Arabidopsis thaliana: one gene and its partners. The protein of the gene in region 1 interacts with the protein of each later gene in a pairwise test. Each region holds a gene or a part of one and is shown in the gene's direction. Other genes may lie near its edges. The genes, in order: AT2G28315, AT1G14990, AT5G47530 and AT1G36050.

What was found.
Region 2: the proteins of AT2G28315 (region 1) and AT1G14990 interact in a protein complementation assay, tested with the Arabidopsis thaliana proteins (one large-scale study listed by BioGRID).
Region 3: the proteins of AT2G28315 (region 1) and AT5G47530 interact in a protein complementation assay, tested with the Arabidopsis thaliana proteins (one large-scale study listed by BioGRID).
Region 4: the proteins of AT2G28315 (region 1) and AT1G36050 interact in a protein complementation assay, tested with the Arabidopsis thaliana proteins (one large-scale study listed by BioGRID).

The regions. Positions count from the first base shown.
Region 1 is NC_003071.7:12,086,736-12,091,321, forward strand, and holds AT2G28315 (Nucleotide/sugar transporter family protein), read left to right. Parts: upstream 1-1,931; 5' UTR 1,932-2,160; coding exon 2,161-2,281; intron 2,282-2,397; coding exon 2,398-2,582; intron 2,583-2,662; coding exon 2,663-2,730; intron 2,731-2,818; coding exon 2,819-2,951; intron 2,952-3,034; coding exon 3,035-3,196; intron 3,197-3,390; coding exon 3,391-3,660; coding exon of another isoform or gene 3,661-3,669; exon of another isoform or gene 3,670-3,745; coding exon 3,746-3,835; 3' UTR 3,836-4,030; downstream 4,031-4,586. Other genes in the region: AT2G28310 (trimethylguanosine synthase (DUF707)), read left to right, coding at 1-34, 116-217, 295-408, 499-555, 650-716, 807-860, 950-1,153. UniProt on the Arabidopsis thaliana protein: Nucleotide-sugar transporter that transports UDP-xylose and UMP in a strict counter-exchange mode.
Region 2 is NC_003070.9:5,166,492-5,170,162, reverse strand, and holds AT1G14990 (uncharacterized protein), read left to right. Parts: upstream 1-1,898; 5' UTR 1,899-2,011; coding exon 2,012-2,130; intron 2,131-2,283; coding exon 2,284-2,365; intron 2,366-2,460; coding exon 2,461-2,577; intron 2,578-2,638; coding exon 2,639-2,668; intron 2,669-2,758; coding exon 2,759-2,809; 3' UTR 2,810-3,132; downstream 3,133-3,671. Other genes in the region: scpl50 (serine carboxypeptidase-like 50), read right to left, coding at 216-1,550; CPN10 (chaperonin 10), read left to right, coding at 3,509-3,613.
Region 3 is NC_003076.8:19,279,420-19,283,616, forward strand, and holds AT5G47530 (Auxin-responsive family protein), read left to right. Parts: upstream 1-1,954; 5' UTR 1,955-2,051; coding exon 2,052-2,678; intron 2,679-2,807; coding exon 2,808-3,062; intron 3,063-3,145; coding exon 3,146-3,451; 3' UTR 3,452-3,642; downstream 3,643-4,197. Other genes in the region: AT5G47540 (Mo25 family protein), read right to left, coding at 3,846-3,922, 4,016-4,118. UniProt on the Arabidopsis thaliana protein: May act as a catecholamine-responsive trans-membrane electron transporter.
Region 4 is NC_003070.9:13,448,589-13,454,213, forward strand, and holds AT1G36050 (Endoplasmic reticulum vesicle transporter protein), read left to right. Parts: upstream 1-1,615; 5' UTR 1,616-1,878; coding exon 1,879-2,020; intron 2,021-2,105; coding exon 2,106-2,179; intron 2,180-2,262; coding exon 2,263-2,346; intron 2,347-2,440; coding exon 2,441-2,521; intron 2,522-2,685; coding exon 2,686-2,766; intron 2,767-3,009; coding exon 3,010-3,102; intron 3,103-3,354; coding exon 3,355-3,534; intron 3,535-3,620; coding exon 3,621-3,688; intron 3,689-3,764; coding exon 3,765-3,816; intron 3,817-3,908; coding exon 3,909-3,962; intron 3,963-4,047; coding exon 4,048-4,140; intron 4,141-4,222; coding exon 4,223-4,289; intron 4,290-4,375; coding exon 4,376-4,453; coding exon of another isoform or gene 4,454-4,467; exon of another isoform or gene 4,468-4,772; coding exon 4,773-5,095; downstream 5,096-5,625.

The DNA.
Region 1 (4,586 bases):
CGATTCATATTAGTACAAGAAAGCAAACAAAATGGTTAGTCATCTGGTCATTTACCGGTTATTAAGTATGTTTGTCGAGTATGTTTTTATCGAAATTCTCTACTGGTTTTGGCAGGTGGTACGCGAAGAGGTTTTTGCATCCTGATGTTGTGTCAGCTTATGAGTACATATTTATATGGGATGAAGATCTTGGAGTGGAGCATTTCAATGCGGATAAGTAAGTTATTACTTGTCTGAAGTAGCAGAACAATCTTATATTTTACATTTTGTGATGGAATTCTATTAAAACTTCAGGTACATTGAGTTAGTTAAGAAGCATGGTTTAGAGATTTCTCAACCAGGCTTAGAGCCTAACAATGGACTCACATGGGAAATGACAAAGAGGAGAGGTGACCGGGAAGTCCATAAGTAAGATCTCCTTCTCTAACCATTCTTCTTTGCCTTTCTTTCAAATTTGGTTCTGAATTAAGAAATGTGTTGTTACTTACTGTTGAACAGAGATACAAAAGAGAAACCAGGATGGTGTAAAGACCCACATTTACCTCCATGTGCCGCGTAAGTCTCTCTTTGAAACGTTCTCTTTAGAGCAACTCAAGAGTGTTTAGTCATTGTCAGTACTGAGTTTTCTGAAAAAAATTCCCTCTCACAGGTTTGTTGAAATAATGGCGCCTGTATTTTCTCGAGAAGCATGGCGATGTGTGTGGCATATGATTCAGGTTCGTCGATCTGTAGATACATAGTCCTAGTCTTAGTCCATCAAAATAATGCTTGTTGTTTTGATCAGTTTGTTTATGTTTCTGATGCAGAATGATCTGGTTCATGGATGGGGTCTCGACTTTGCGCTTAGAAGATGCGTTGAAGTAAGTTGTTTTTGCCCCCCCCTTGCTTACCTTAATAACACAATATTCTCTTGACTGATGATGAAAATTTGTGTGTTTTGCTTTTGCAGCCTGCTCATGAGAAGATTGGTGTTGTGGATTCGCAATGGATAATACATAAAGTGATACCTTCACTTGGAAGTCAAGGAAAGTCAGAGAATGGGAAAGCTCCATGGCAAGGAGTGAGAGATAGATGCAAAATGGAATGGACAATGTTTCAGAACCGATTGGCTGATGCTGATAAAGAGTATCTTGGGAAGATGGTGAAAGATTAGATTTGTTTTTCTTTTTTCTTTCTATATAATTAATATATTAAAAAAACTTTTACTTTTGTATATCAAATATTTTACACTAAATTAGGTTTTCATAGGACATGTGTGAAGCCCTTTTTATTGATATTGTGTAAGATTTATACATTTTGATTGAGCTTTATTATGTTGTTTGTTACTTTCTCCATTTCAAATTCTTAGATGTTTTTAAAAAGAAATTGCTTTCACTAAACAAGAGAGAAGTGAAACATGTAAAAAAAAAAAACTTTAGAAAACAAAGGTGTAATAGAAGTGGTTGTTATTACATAATCTTTTTGACTTCTGAAAAGACAATAAGAAAACAAGACTTATAACCAGTTTCATGATTTATCTATTTCACCCAATTTCATAAATTGGCTATTTTATATTTGCTCTCAATAGGTAACGTAAATGGTAGAGAAATTAAGGAGAAGAGAAGGGTATTGGTATGGACTTTGGAGTGAGTGTGAAGCTTTACACCAAATCCAAATAATTTCAATTTTCATTTTAGTTTCTATTTTACAATATTTTGCCCAATAGAAAAAGTATGAGAAATTCAGTTTCACCTTCCTTTTTGCTTTTAGTTCAAGTCAATTGTTTGTCCATAGAAAACCATACAATGTCTCCCTCCATTGGCTGTTTCATTTCAGAGTCTTTTTTATGGTTAAGAATTTGCTATCATATCATTAGTAGAAGTCTCTTATGAGGAAAAACAAATATTAAGCAACATCATTATAGTTTTTCTCATGTATCTTGTGCGTAATTATGTAAATGTCATAATTATTAAAACATGAAATTAGGAAGAACAGAAGTTTGGTGTTAGACACCAACCATTTTTATACAAACAAATAATAAAAATCTCATTATATCACCTTTGCATTTCATCACTCATCACATTCACAATCCTTCTCTTTTTCTCACATCAATATATATCTCTCTTTCTCTCTCTTCATTTGATAGATTTGAAGATTTGAGAGGAGAGAGAGGAAGAAAAAATGGGAGAGATGAAGAGTATGCAAATGGGTGTGATTGGAGCATTGTTTCTATCAGTTGCATCTTCTGTCTCCATTGTCATTTGCAACAAAGCTTTGATGACCAATCTTGGTTTCCCTTTTGGTAATTACTAGTACTTTTTTTTTTTGCTTTGTGAGAATATATTTTGTAAGATCTTTATCAAAAACCCGATTATTCGTCTTAGGATTGATCGCTTTTTTGCTATGGTTTTGTTACAGCAACAACACTTACTAGTTGGCATTTGATGGTAACATATTGCACACTTCATGTGGCATATAAACTAAACTTCTTTGAGAATAAACCAATAGACATGAGAACTGTTGTTCTCTTTGGCCTCCTCAATGGCATTTCCATTGGTCTCCTCAATCTCAGCCTCGGCTTTAATTCCATCGGCTTCTATCAAGTATATATCTTCGACATACTTTTGATCATGTAACAATTATATGATTCACCAATTTGATGTTTGTCCATAACTAATGGCAGATGACCAAACTTGCTATCATACCATTCACTGTTCTTTTAGAAACCCTCTTCCTCAACAAGAAGTTCAGGTGAACCAAACTTGATACATAAGATTATTTTAATTTTTATTGTTTACATAAATAACTTTTTTTTGAATGACATATTTTGGTTTTGCAGCCAGAAGATAAAATTCTCATTGTTTTTGCTGCTAGTTGGGGTTGGTATAGCATCAATCACAGATCTTCAGCTCAATTTTGTTGGCTCTGTTCTATCTCTCCTTGCCATTGCCACAACTTGCGTCGGCCAAATTGTATGCTTTAAGTTTCATTAAACTAATGTTTAATAACTAATACATAGTATAATTAATATGACTATGAAAATGTTGTGGTGAAGCTAACAAACACTATCCAGAAGAGACTGAACGTGACATCAACACAACTCCTATACCAATCAGCCCCGTTCCAAGCTGCTATACTCTTCGTCTCGGGTCCTTTTGTCGACAAATACCTCACTAGCCTCAATGTTTTCTCCTTCCATTACTCTCCCATCGTCGTGGTAATTTTTTACATCGTTAATTCCATTTATTCCCAATTGGTGTTAAAATAGAATTAGAATCATTGTCCTGGATCGGTCCAGCCCATTTTCGCATGGCCCCTTAGAGCCGTGCCCATGTTGAGCCATGATTGTATCATAACGTCCCTAGATAGATACTAAAATTTTGTGAAATTTGACAATGATGAATCATGCAGGGGTTCATAACGTTGTCGTGTTTGATAGCGGTTTCGGTTAACTTCAGTACGTTTTTAGTGATTGGAAAGACATCTCCGGTGACATACCAAGTCTTGGGACATCTCAAAACGTGTTTGGTGCTCGCATTTGGTTACACTCTCCTTCACGATCCCTTCACTCCTCGTAATATCGCAGGAATACTCATCGCTGTCCTCGGGATGCTTCTCTACTCCTACTTCTGCTCAGTTGCTTCTAAATCCAAACAAGCCTCCTCCGATTCCACTTTTCTTGTACGTTAACCACACAAAAAGAAAAGATAGAAATAATGAGTGTTGAAAGTTTCTAAGTACTTTGGTTTTATTCCTTTTTTGACAGGGGAAAGATAGAGATACGACGCCGCTTTTGGGACAAGAAAATGAGAACCATCATGAAGCCAAGAAATTAGACAAGCATTCTCCAGTATGAAATAGTACAATAACTCTTTCTTTATGTTTCGACTCTATAATTGTGTCCCTTTTTTTTGTTCATTCATTGATAATGTTTTTGTAATTGAGAAAAAATTGAAATAGCCAATGGGCATTTTCTCTTCTTTTTTATATTTACATTTCCTATTTCATTTCCTCCTTTTTGGATCTTACAAGGATTATAAAATTATTTTCTCTCGTACGTGTTCTTTGGTTTATGTTAGTGTTCTTCAAATGATCAAATGATTGTTTTCTATTAAGAAGATAAAATAAAATAGTATAGTACTAAATAGTGTTTAAAATACAATTAGTTTCAAAACGGTTTTGGACTTTTCGGTGATTAAAATGTGATAAATTATGAAGTTTTTGAGTTTATGGAAGAAAAATGATGGGCGATTTGACATATGCATATAATTATTATCGGTTTTTAGGATAACAGGAACCAGAAATTTCTAATAATTGAAATGCTTTATGCTCTTATTTTTCCTTTCCATATAAAAAATTTAAATGCAATTTATAACATATATACATATAGATATGTATATTGTTAAATATTACATGTGCGTTACGTCTAACGTTTACGAGAATTCATCCTCTGTTCACATGCTACGTTGTCGTTGTTGTTTTATCTTTCCATGAATAGTATATGTATAACATTTTTATGTTATGGTCTTATGGACCTACAAAGAGAATTGGCAATGAAACTTTCCCTTAAAAGCGAATAATTTTTTTAATTAAAAACTAGTGGTTGT
Region 2 (3,671 bases), on another chromosome or scaffold:
AAACAGTTTATCTGAATCAATCCTTAAGTGTATACTGTATGCTAACTTTTTTGAGAAAGTTTAAGACTTCAGGAACAGGCAAATGATAAACTAAGTAGCAAAAGTTACCAATTCGTACTAAAATGAACTTGTGAACATGACGTAACAAATCTAAATCCAGAGTACAATTAGAATCTGAATTGAATCTTACAGAACTAAGTACAAGTACACAATATTTAGATTGAATGGTATAAGCTCGACGAAGTTGTCTGCTTCACATCTTTACCACCGAACAATCCTTTCCCCAAAACCCAACCTTCAATCATATCCCTTGAATTCACAGCTTTATCTGTCGGAACAAAATGACCAGCTCCTGTAACCGCCACGTGGCACAAATTCCCCCATCTCTGAACATAACCAGCGACCACACCGTCTTCATCCTTCCACACACGCCTCTCCGCCGTCGAGAACATTCCCAATCCTGACCAGTTCATAGTCTTCATCCACTCCTCCGTCGAAACGACGCCGTCTCTTAGATCAAGCATACCTTGATACAGCAAGACTTGAGTCCTCTCCAATGCGTACTCCACCATGAACTTTACGCTCTTCATCACGTCTGCCCGCAACACATCTTCTACTTCATCACTACATTCCTCAAAACGAACCGTTTCACTCACTCCCAAAACACGTTTTGCTTCTCTCTGGTTCAAGAGGTCCACCACGAGGTCTGTTCTGTATGGAATCGCCCGTGCCGTGTTGTAGAGCGTCGCGAGTCCTGTCATGTTACTTAGTAGCGTCAACAGTTCGGTCCTCGCGTCTGCTGCTTCACGCCATTTCTGGGACTTCACGAGAGCTACAGATATCTCCTGCGCTTTTTGCAGTTCAACTCTCTGTTTTGCGTTGACCAGACCCGAGTAGTAGACGTTGACCGCATGGGTTTGAACCTGGGTCACCGGGTCGGTCAGCCCGTTTCCAATGGCTAGCCCCTTTAGATTCACTTTCCCATTGGGTTTCTCTTTAAGGATATAGTATCCAATGGCTGGAACGTACTTCCCGGCGTAGCTCTCTCCAGTGAAGTAAACCGGTCGGTTTTCGAAGCTTGGGTTTTGTTCAAGGAACTCCACGAGAGCGGCGTAAAGATGCTCAGCGACCTGTCTCTGATTTGTGGGTATGTCTTGTTGTGAGGCTGCGATGCTGAATCCGACTCCTATTGGGTTATCCACAAAAAGTAGTCCGAATAGACGGTTCCATGCGCCGGGGTTGCGCTCGAGGTCTGTGGCGCGTGAAACTACACGCCAGGGACCGAGCTCGTAAAAGTTGCCAATCATTGAAGAGCAGCCTGGCCCACCTTGGAGCCAAACGAGGAGCGGAGTGTCAGGAAGAGGTGTGGTTGGCTCTTGGGCTTCGTAGAAGGCATAGAACATGGACGAGCCGGGTGCGGGTTTAACCGGGAGGTAGCCAGATTTAGTGGGGAGAGCTTCATCGGGAAATAGCGGTGGCTGAGGAGACTCAACGGAGACGGCGAGGAGGAGAGTGGAAAGCAATATGAAGAGTGTAGTGGCTTGCTCCATTATTTCCACTAATTGGTGACGCCTTTACATAAAGATCCCTTTGTATTATTTCATTTATTTCATTATTTGACTGCAAAACATTACGTTTATGTTTTGTCTTGTATAACATGTGAATTTTTAAATGTGTAACAATAACATTTTTGTCAAGACGTGCTTGCTTACTAACCTAATTGCATTAACATGTGAGTTTTTTAATTTAAAGGTTTTTGTTTGTAGATGATTTTCCATAATGTATATTATTTTAAATTTATTGTTGCCAAAAGAAATAAAATCTAAAAGTTTTATTGGGCCGAAAAGAGAAAAAGGTCAGATAGGCCCATAAAAAGTTGGACAATACAAAGCGTTTACAATTTGTCAATTGCAAATTTCGTGAGATGCTTCTTCTACTCGTCATCTCTGTTTGGTAAAGTGATCACAAGGTGTTCGATATAATACCTGAAAGAGTTTCCGAAGGTGTGAAGATGATGATCTTGGATGTTTGCTCAGAGGTTATAAAGATCCAGAAGCTACGACGGGCTGTCTCTTACGCCGGATTCTACTGCTTCACTGCTGCCCTCACATTCTTCTATACAAACAACACGTAATGTCTTTCGTCCGATCTCAGTTTGCTTCTTTTGGTTGTTCTTTCTTTTCAATATCGGAATTCGCAGATGATTTCAATTTCTGGGTTCTTCTCTTGGTTTCTGCTTCAGGTTTAATTTGATTTAATGTTACTGATTCGAATGTTGTGTAGAACAAGAGCAGGATATTCCAGGGGAGATCAGTTTTATGCATCTTACCCTGCTGGCACCGAACTTTTGACCGACACAGCTAAGGTTTGTCCTTGATGACAATTTTGAGTTGTCGTTTACAGTTTATATAGTTGATTAGTTCTGTGTGGAACTGATGATTGGGGTTTATTGGAGTAAAGCTGTACAAAGCGGCGCTTGGGAATTGCTATGAATCTGAAGATTGGGGTCCTGTTGAATTCTGCATAATGGCTAAGCATTTTGATCGCCAGGGAAAATCTCCATACGTTTACCACTCCGTAAGTTTCTTCAATCTCTTTATGATAATCTCTGTGGTGCGGATATTTTAGTGTTGTAAAGGTCAGTTTCCATAAGTCTAGAATCTTGATGGTACTGACTTTGTGGTGCCATTGATAGAAATGTTTGTCGAATCATGTGGGGTTAGAACCAAGAATTGAGCTCATTTTATTGTGAATGCAGCAATACATGGCTCACCTTCTATCTCAAGGCCAACTCGATGGAAGTGGCTAGTGGCGCCAGCTCTCTTTGTTTCAGCTTTGTGCCTAATCTTGTTATAGCAAATTCGAATCCTGGTATCTTGGAACATTTGTATGGTGTTTGTATAAGTCCGGAACCGTACCATTGGCTTACATGGATTATTCAGATTTGTACTCTGAAAATTAAGAGCATGTAATTCCCGCAGAGGCACAATGTAATAAACATATAGCATAGCAAAGCAACAATCCGGGGAAAAACTTTGGTTACCACCTTGAAAGAAATGGGGAAAACTGACAGAGCAAGAAGCTTTCCATCATCAGCAGAGACGTTTGATAAAAGAAAGGTCAAGATTTCATTCCACGAAAAATCTGCCGAAAATAAACATCTCATTCTGGATGTGGTATATGAAATGGGATTGTACATGGAGTTTGAAAAACTTGGCAAAGAGAATCATGGAAGGAACTAACCATTTGAGCTGCAAGGTCATACAACACTTCCAAGAATTTATTTAGACAAACACAAATGCGACTGGTTTTTTTTAATGAGTGAGGCCCATTAAAGAAATAGTATGATATTATAGGCCCAAACAATCCCAAAACCCTTGGCCTTTTTCTGTCGCGCTAAACCCTACGATCTAGAACCTTCCGTCTTATGTGTCTCTGCCCCAAATTAAAAACTCAGAAACCCTAGAAAATTCCGATTCATCAACTGAGAGAGAAGAAGAATTGAGAAATGATGAAGCGTCTGATCCCAACGTTCAACCGCATCTTGGTGCAGAGAGTCATCCAGCCCGCTAAAACCGAAAGCGGCATTCTCCTACCTGAGAAATCCTCCAAGGTAAAAGAGCTTTGATTTCACGATTTGATTCTTCTGATTTTCGCCTCTTAGATCTGAA
Region 3 (4,197 bases), on another chromosome or scaffold:
CAAGACAGAGAAAACGTTGATGATCACGAATTATGAAGACCCATTAGACAAAACAGGACAAAAAACTCGCATTTACAGGGATAATCATAAGGGGAAAATTGAGAAAAACCTTCTCTTTATTCTCGGGAAGTGCAGAGGAAAACAAAATTACCTTGTGGAAGCAACACCGATTAAAGAAATTGGGGAACATGGGAATGGAATGGATCCAAAGAGAAGAAAACGAAACAAGAGATCCCAAAAATGGAATCGGAAAACGAAAGGATTCAACGCCTTCTTCTGGGAAATCAAAGACACGCAGTAACTCTGGCAGAGAGAGAGAGAAAGAAAGAGACCGGAGTTTTTCCATTTCGGTTCGGATTGGTAATAATGGGCTCAGCAAAAATAAAACATCTTGGGCCCTTATGGACCCTCTTACCCTATTTTACCATAGGCTCTACTTTTTTTTACCACCTTTGTTTTAGTTTCACTTAAAATTTTAGTTAAGGAAAAAAAAGTTACCGATTATGTACACTCTACTGTTATTTATTAGACACAACAAAACTTTCAAATATGATGGATTTTCCATCCTATTTTATTTATAAAAGAAAATATTTATATTTCTAACATCAACAAACTCTACCCAAATCAGATTATCCTTCTGAAACTATGCAATTTGTATTGTTTTTCAGGAAACTAGTGATTTTTTGAATAATTGTAATACTTTTCATTCATCAAAAAAACATATTATATCTTTCCTTTTTTTCCATCAAAAACATATTATATCTAAATATCTCATTTTGGGTTGTTTTTTGATAATTAACACTTAAGCCCATATAAAAGAGTCTAGTTCAAACTGAGCCCAGCTACACCAAAGAATCTAGTGGGGGACATGTGGCAGGTAGTAATTTGAGCGTTGACCAAGAAAGGACATTATTATACATCCACCTGGTTAGAGCATGCTTATAGGTGATATTCTCAAAGTATCATTAAAAAAATTTTAGTATTATTTATAATGTTTGTTTAATAGATAAATATTTTTTTTCTTACTTTTAATAAATGCTACCAATCAGGAGATGTCACGTAGATGATACTGATATCAAGAAAATCACTGGAATGATACTAATCAAACTCATTCTAATTGTTTGGTTAATAAAAAAATAATTTTTACACTGATGATATTCTAAAAATATCACTCATGTACATGGTCTTAACCGTTGAAATGTTGGTCGCGGCCTATATATAGAAGAACATAACTCTAAAAATAGCTAAACCCAACCACTTCCCTTGGATTGGAATCTCTCATAAACAGTTTGTTGGTCTGGTCCGCTCCAGTCCATACTCATAAGGTGGTAGATGTTTACTTAGGGTACATCATACATGCACAACGTTAGTAGTTGCAGGCATAGACGTGTTTGCCCTTTATTACGCGAAAACCACTACTCCCTTCGCTAGTCTACTTTCGTCAATTGAACCACTAAACCCAATGAAACCTAATATTTTAGTGTGCTCAATAATTTATCATCATCCCAATTCCCAAGCGTACCAAGATTATAATCTAACTTAACGCGCAATGTCATGACAAAACCTATATACAATGAAAAAGATTTTTCATGACAAACAAAGAAAAAATAAACACGAGAAATGAGTTCTCGTAATAAAGTTGGTGTGAACTGGTTTTTGAACGTGAAGATGACCCCTTCATATTTTTATTTCTTGGTTTTTGCTTGAGAGGGTTAAAGACTCTTAAGGAAGAAATACATTACACGTCAAACCTTTTTGGGAAAACAATGAACGCTTCATTTATAATGTTTCTATTTTTTACTCTTAGGTAAAACATTGCAATTGATAGATGAACAAGAACAAAAGCAGAGGATTAAAAGAAAGATTAAACTATGAAAAAAGGACACGTGTGAAGAGAATTAGAGATTCTGTATTAAGACAGATTAACTAACAAACCAAACCCTACTTGTTCCACTTTCTATTCATACTTAATCTCATTCTCCTCTCTTCCCCTTCATACTTAAATCTTATCATTCATCCATCTTTTAATCATTACTCGAGATTCTGTTTCCATGGCCATATCCTCAAATCTTCTCCTTTGTCTCTCTCTTTTCATTTTCATCATCACCAAATCCGCCTTGGCTCAGAAATGTTCCAACTACAAATTCTCCACCAACCGTCTCTTTGAGTCTTGCAACGACCTACCTGTTCTTGATTCCTTCCTCCACTACACTTACGATTCTTCTTCAGGCAATCTCCAAATCGCGTATCGCCACACAAAGCTCACCCCCGGGAAATGGGTGGCATGGGCCGTGAATCCCACATCTACTGGCATGGTCGGAGCTCAAGCCATTGTGGCTTATCCACAATCAGACGGCACCGTTAGGGCTTATACGTCACCCATCAGTAGCTACCAAACGAGTCTCCTAGAAGCTGAGCTGAGTTTCAACGTCTCTCAGTTGTCTGCCACTTACCAAAACAACGAGATGGTCATCTACGCAATTCTGAATCTTCCACTTGCGAATGGTGGAATCATTAACACTGTGTGGCAAGATGGGTCACTGTCAGGGAACAATCCTCTGCCTCATCCAACTTCTGGCAACAATGTTCGTTCTGTTTCTACTCTTAACCTTGTCTCTGGTGCATCTGGATCCACCTCTACCGGAGCAGGAGGAGCTTCCAAGCTACGCAAACGCAACGTGAGTCCATGGTTTTATCAATTTCTTCATTTCATGTTTTTTAGGAATCTCACATATGAAATGAGATTTATCAATCCCATCATTGTTAGTTGGTTTTATGAAACTTATCACTCCTAATCATTATTGCAGATACATGGAATATTGAACGGTGTGAGCTGGGGTATAATGATGCCAATAGGAGCAATCATTGCTCGCTACTTGAAAGTCTCAAAATCAGCAGATCCTGCTTGGTTCTACCTTCATGTTTTCTGCCAGTCTTCTGCTTACATCATTGGTGTTGCCGGTTGGGCGACCGGTCTCAAACTGGGCAACGAATCAGCCGGGATTCAGTTTACCTTTCACCGTGCTGTTGGGATCGCTCTCTTCTGCCTCGCAACAATTCAGGTAGGTTTTAGTTAACAGTACAGAGAGTATTACACTTGTCATGAATATGTTGCAATTACTAAGTTGCTTGTTTCACACGTTAGGTGTTTGCAATGTTTTTGAGACCCAAACCAGAGCACAAGTACAGAGTCTACTGGAACATTTATCACCACACTGTAGGCTATTCAGTGATCATTCTTGCGGTGGTAAACGTTTTTAAAGGACTAGACATCCTGAGCCCTGAGAAGCAGTGGAGAAACGCTTACACCGCCATAATCGTAGTACTAGGTATAGTCGCGGTTGTGCTCGAAGGGTTTACTTGGTATGTAGTCATAAAGAGAGGGAAAGCAGAGGCATCTGCGAAAACAAGTCAACGAGTAGGCAACGATGGTCGGTCTCTATACGTGTAGACTCTGTAAAGATTAGAGTAAAATGTTCTGGTTTATTTGGTCATTATGGGCTTGTGGTTGTTAATTTTTGTTTGTTTTCGAGATTAAGTTAATACATTTGATGTTTAATAGTTGTTGAAGTTGAAAGACTCTTGTGCTCTTTTACAACATTCATGATGTGAGCTTTTGACAAACCATTTTATTTCATCGACAGTGAAGTAGTGTACATATGAATACATATATCGAATAGATATCTCGTATGTGTATGTGTGTGTGTGTGTGTGTGTGTGTGTGTGTGTGTGGTGAGAAAGTGAGAGGAAGATTGGTTACCTAATGTAAAAAAACAACAAGATGCTTCAAAAATGTCTTTTCGAGTGTTTTAAAAGGGAAGGAAGGATGAATTGCATTAGTTGGTTCAAGCAAGATCTCGAGGTTCAAGGGCTGCGATTTCTCTCAAAACCTGACTTTTGTCTGCTTCAAACCTCTCATCCTCTGTCAACCAAATGAACCAAACAATGCTTTAATAAGGTTAAGGAGCAGAAGGATCGGATACAAGCGTTTCACTTAACAAGATTAGTTTCATACCTTTGTCTGGTTTCAAATCAGCCAACAATCTCAGAAGCTTGCTTCTGTTGGCCACCAGAATGTTGACTATATCCGCAGGCTTGTTTTGGTTCGCTGCAAACAGCTGCACAACAGTGACGATAATCTCAGTACAATCACGTTGGACTGACAAGTGACAATCATCATTATGTTACATCTCGTTA
Region 4 (5,625 bases), on another chromosome or scaffold:
TATATGATGCATACGTTTTATCCAACCATATCTTCACGTAACCAACTTCTTCTCAATTACCTTAACTGTTCACATGTTTATATATCTAAGCCCATATTTTTAGGTGTTATACATATATATATTTATTTACTTTTTGAGGATTCTGGAAAATTGAAAGATATGATACAACAGTTATACGATATATATATTGAATTTAAAACTTTAATAATTATAATTTTAATAATTTGAATAGACACTGTAAATATAGTTTTAGTCGGACAAACCTTACTCAACATTCAATACTAATCATATACCAAAACATAATTGTTTTATCTAATTTAGAGAAAAGAAACATGAAGCTATTTATTATCATTGTGGTGACCAGTTTAACCATCTCAAAGGTATTTGACAAAACACTTGTCACCATTGAAGCAAGAAATTTGAGGAAGATGGACCGTCATGAGCATTTCAATGCTAATGAAGATTTCGTGGAAGCAAAAATGTTAAAGAAAATTGACAATAAAAATAATCTAAATAATAGATGTATAAATGATTTTGCGCCTACTAATCCAGGACATAATTCTGGTATTGGGCATCCAAAAGTTATAAACAACAAATTTACAAAAGATTTTGCGCCTACTAATCCAGGACATAGTCCTGGTATTGGGCATCTAAGAGTTGTAAACAACAAATTTACAAATGATTTTGCGCCTACTAATCCAGGAAATAGTCCCGGTATTAGGCATCCATGAGTTATGAATGTTTAAGGATTGTAAATCTTATTATATAAATCTTAAAGAAATAAAATAAAACTAACAAAAAAACAAATTTATATGTCTATATCTCAAATGTTTTTAACTTTTTTTTCTGAACTAAAAGAAAAATTAACAAATTTGTTTTTATATGTGTTATTGGTCAAATAAATTAGGATGTATTTATATTTATTTGAAGAAAAAATTAGCATGTATTAATTTTTTTAAAGTCATTTAATTTATGTGTACAAAATATTATTTTACGGTTTTGGTGGGAAAACGTTGGCTTACAGTTGTTGCGGGAAAACGTGATTTTTAATTTTGGCGGAAAATACTTTTTGTGTGATTTTGGCAAGAAAACACTTTTTGTGATTTTAGCGGGAAAACGTGGTTTTACGGTTTTGTCGAGAAAATGTTGGTTTACGGTTGTGGCGGAAAAACGTAATTTTAATATTTAAACCAAAAACTGAAGTTAAATAGAATAATTTAGTTTTACTAAGGATGACTAATAGAAAAAGAAAAATAAATAGACTTAATTGGATACCAATTTATTTATGTGAAACCTTATTTAATAAATGAGTTTAGTTGGCTTAATCCATTTAATCTCATTTAACTTGTTTTTCCTAAATTAATTTAAATGGGTCAAAAACTCTTACTCATAACCATTAATTAAATAGGATTTGCATACCCAAATTAACATCACTAGTCCTAGACAAAAACCAAAATAGAAAACAATATTTTTATCCATTTTTACTTTTGCTCATCGACCAAATTTGGGCCTAGTTTGCTACAAGCTAACAATTGAAAAGCCTCTTAAGACACATGAAATAGTAACGACGTCGTTTACTCATGAAGCGAAAGACGGCAAACACGAACGGGTTTACGTAGACCGTCAAACGCTCCTCCGTCCGACGGAGAAAAAACGAGACGGTGAAGAAGAAGAAGAAGAAGAAGAAGAAGAACGACTCAAAGATCTCATCGATCACTCTCTCCAAGATCTATTCACGCATCGTCGGAAGAATTTTCGCTTCCGACGACGTTTCTCTCGTCTGATTTTGTCTCCGAACATCCTACCTAATCGTATTCGGTGCTGGATTTGAATCCGGTGAACTGAATCTGACAATTTCGTTCCCGGAGGTGTTTAAAAATGGCCGGGATCTTGAATAAATTGCGGAATCTAGATGCATATCCTAAGATCAATGAAGATTTTTACAGCCGTACATTATCCGGCGGAGTTATCACTCTCCTCTCCTCCGTTGTTATGTTCCTTCTCTTCTTCTCCGAGCTCCGTACGTATTAACAACTTCGCTTCCAATTTTGTGAATCTCCATATCCAGTTTCGTAATTTTGAAATTCTTTGATTCTGTTGTTTAGGTCTTTATCTTCATACAGTCACCGAGACGAAGCTTATAGTAGATACTTCAAGGGGAGAGACGTTACGCATCAACGTAATGTTACTTAATAGTGATTTTGACTTGGTTTGTGCTTATATTTGATTAGAGATGTCTGATAAGTTTCATTGATGATGCAGTTTGATATTACGTTTCCTGCTCTAGCATGTTCGATTCTTAGTGTTGATGCTATGGATATTAGTGGAGAGCTTCATCTTGACGTGGTATGTTTGTAAAATTGGTTACTGTTATAGCTTAGTGAATCTTAGTTTTTGTGTTTGAGACGTTGATTAAGTTTGTTAAATGTGTGAGTTACAGAAACATGATATCATAAAGAGAAGATTAGATTCTAATGGCAACACTATAGAGGCAAGACAGGACGGAATAGGCGCTACTAAGGTTTGCTCTCTGCCATTCTATTCTTTGGGGTTTTGTAGTCATTAGGCTAGGATTAAACTGCAGGCAAATGGCAAATGGCAAATGGAATAGTAGTGTCAAGAATTAAAAGTCGTTTGTTTTTGGGGTCTTTAAAGTCTTATACTTTTTTTTTTGTGCTTGTGTAGATTGAAAACCCACTGCAGAAACATGGTGGCAGGCTGGGACATAATGAGACTTACTGTGGTTCTTGCTATGGGGCTGAAGCGGTAATTGTGTTATCTCTCTATTTGACTTTGTGGAGCATGGTTTCTCAAGTTCATATTCAGATTACTCTTGATTGTTTAGTGCTAGTCAAGAGGTCATAATGGAATAAACAAAAACAGATGTCATAGTGGATTGTTTCTGTACTATATATAGTTATCATTTTCAGGATAGTTGATAGTGCTTTTTCAATCTGGCTTTCATTTATTTATAAGCTTTCATCTGAAGTATGTTTTTTCCCCGTGCAGGAAGAGCATGACTGCTGCAATTCGTGTGAGGATGTTCGTGAAGCATATAGAAAGAAAGGTTGGGGGGTTACTAATCCAGATTTGATTGACCAGGTAAATTGCTAAGAAAAGGTTCTTCGCCTTTTAAATTCCTGGCATCACTGTTTCAATGCGATAGTAGCAAGTTTTGTTTCATTTCTTTCTTCTTGTTTCTTTTTCTTATTCTTTGTTAGAGTCTCCAAGGCTTGTGTGCGTTTTGTTTAGTTAGTATGCACTTGGGAGGCTCTTAACTGAACTATGCTTCAAAGAGTTTCCATCTTCCAACTGCGAGCTGAAATACTTTTCACTTATCTGTTTGTGATTCAGTGTAAACGAGAAGGTTTTCTACAAAGAGTAAAGGATGAAGAAGGTGAAGGGTGTAATATATATGGGTTCTTGGAGGTCAATAAGGTGGCTGGGAACTTCCACTTTGCTCCTGGGAAAAGCTTTCATCAGTCGGGCGTGCATGTTCACGATCTTCTTGCTTTTCAGAAAGACAGTTTTAACGTAAGAAATGACTTGTCCTATTGACTGCAACTCATTCGTTATGCTTCTAATCTTATATCAATTCAATATGTTGCGTCTCCCTGCAGATAAGTCACAAGATCAATAGACTTACTTATGGAGACTACTTTCCTGGCGTCGTTAACCCTCTTGACAAGTAAATAACCATTCTGGTCTATTCCATTCACACACTATTTATTTTTTCATACTCTCTAACGTACTTGAAATTGCAGAGTCGAGTGGAGTCAAGACACACCTAATGCTATGTACCAATACTTTATCAAGGTTTGTTCCAAGACAAACACTGTATCATATACTTCAAATTCGTCTATAAAATACCCGCGATGACTCTATTCTGCTTTGTCTGCTTTCAATAGGTTGTACCAACAGTATACACAGATATCAGAGGACACACAATTCAATCGAATCAGGTGAACCAAGGCTTTTAACTGTTCGACCTCATTATCTATTCATTCTCTTCCGCGTACTATCTTAACTTAAATGTAAAATTGGCAGTTCTCAGTGACCGAACATGTAAAGAGCTCAGAAGCAGGTCAACTGCAATCTTTACCTGGAGTTTTCTTCTTCTATGATCTCTCTCCAATCAAGGTGAGTGTATTTGTGTGTTTTAACTGCAGTTTTAGAGCGTATTTATAGTCATAATCCTAACTAAAATGTGTCGTTTCCGTAGGTAACATTTACGGAGGAACACATATCATTCTTGCACTTCTTGACGAATGTTTGCGCCATAGTTGGAGGTATCTCTCTAATCTCTATATACCATAACAACACTTGTTGGTTAACGCACATTAAAATCCGAAATGAAACATGTAAAAATGCGCAGGTGTCTTCACAGTGTCCGGGATAATAGACGCGTTTATATACCATGGTCAAAAAGCTATCAAGAAGAAGATGGAAATTGGTAAATTTAGCTAAATCCTTTAAGCCTTTTTGGGGTTTTCGTCTCTCTCTTTTTGTTTTGCGGATAATACGATTCATGCTCCAAATGTAATATGGTGTCATTTATTTAATTCTTTTTGTTAAGCTGACTATATAAAATATACATATTGATACGTTACACTCTTTTAATGCAAATTGAAGGATAAGTCTTGGGTTGTGTCAATCCAGCTGTTGACAGCCTCATGCGTGCGTTACAATTATCGTCTTTTGACTTTTTGTCTTTTGAAGATATTATGGGTTTTGAATCTGAAGTTAAGTCTTGAGTCTATCTTTGATTGTAGTGTATGGATTCAATGAATGGAAGAAAAAGAAGCAAAACAGTCTCCATAATAAACGCTTAGAGTACAGAGAATCATTATTAGTATTGACGAGAAAGTTGTTATTAGTGAATATATTAATTCCGATTGCAATATATGTTAGGTCTCGGTTAATACTCGGATTCGAAGAACTGAACCAGAACCTATCCGAAATATCGGTTTGGGTCTGTTTTGGATCCTCTAGAACATTTGATTGGGTCTTGTCTTCATATATTTTCGGTATTGGTTCAAAAAGGATAATACCTGATAAATTAACGGGAACTCGAATATATTTGAAGCCTAACTAAACTCATGATCTCCTTTAACCTATATTGCCTGGTTTGATTGGGAACATCGGGTTTTTCTTTTCGAGTAGTTTGGATAAATTTGAGTATAAAGTAACCAACTTGAACTGTATCCGATAATTTTCAATTCACCCATATCAACTATCCGAACTGATATGAACCCGAAGGTTACCAAACCAATCCCGAACAAAATTTTAAAATACCCAAATAGTACCTCGATTCCTAGTACGAAACCAAAATCCAAATACTCGAGTCGAACCCAAACCGGTACCCGAATGTGCAAGCCTAATATATGTGCATTCTCTCATTCCTTTGGCTTGGCAATTGGTTTCTATATTTGCATGGACACTTTTATCATCCAAGTCTTCCTTTCTCATTTGACAACGTTTGCTCGTAAAAAAAACTCACTTTGGTTACCATTGTTAAACACAAAAAAAGAAATCTAATCTTTTGTGTTAACTTAAAGACTTGATAATTGTTTTACTTTTTTTTTTACTTATTATCTATCACTCGGTCTATTCTAAAGAGAAAGC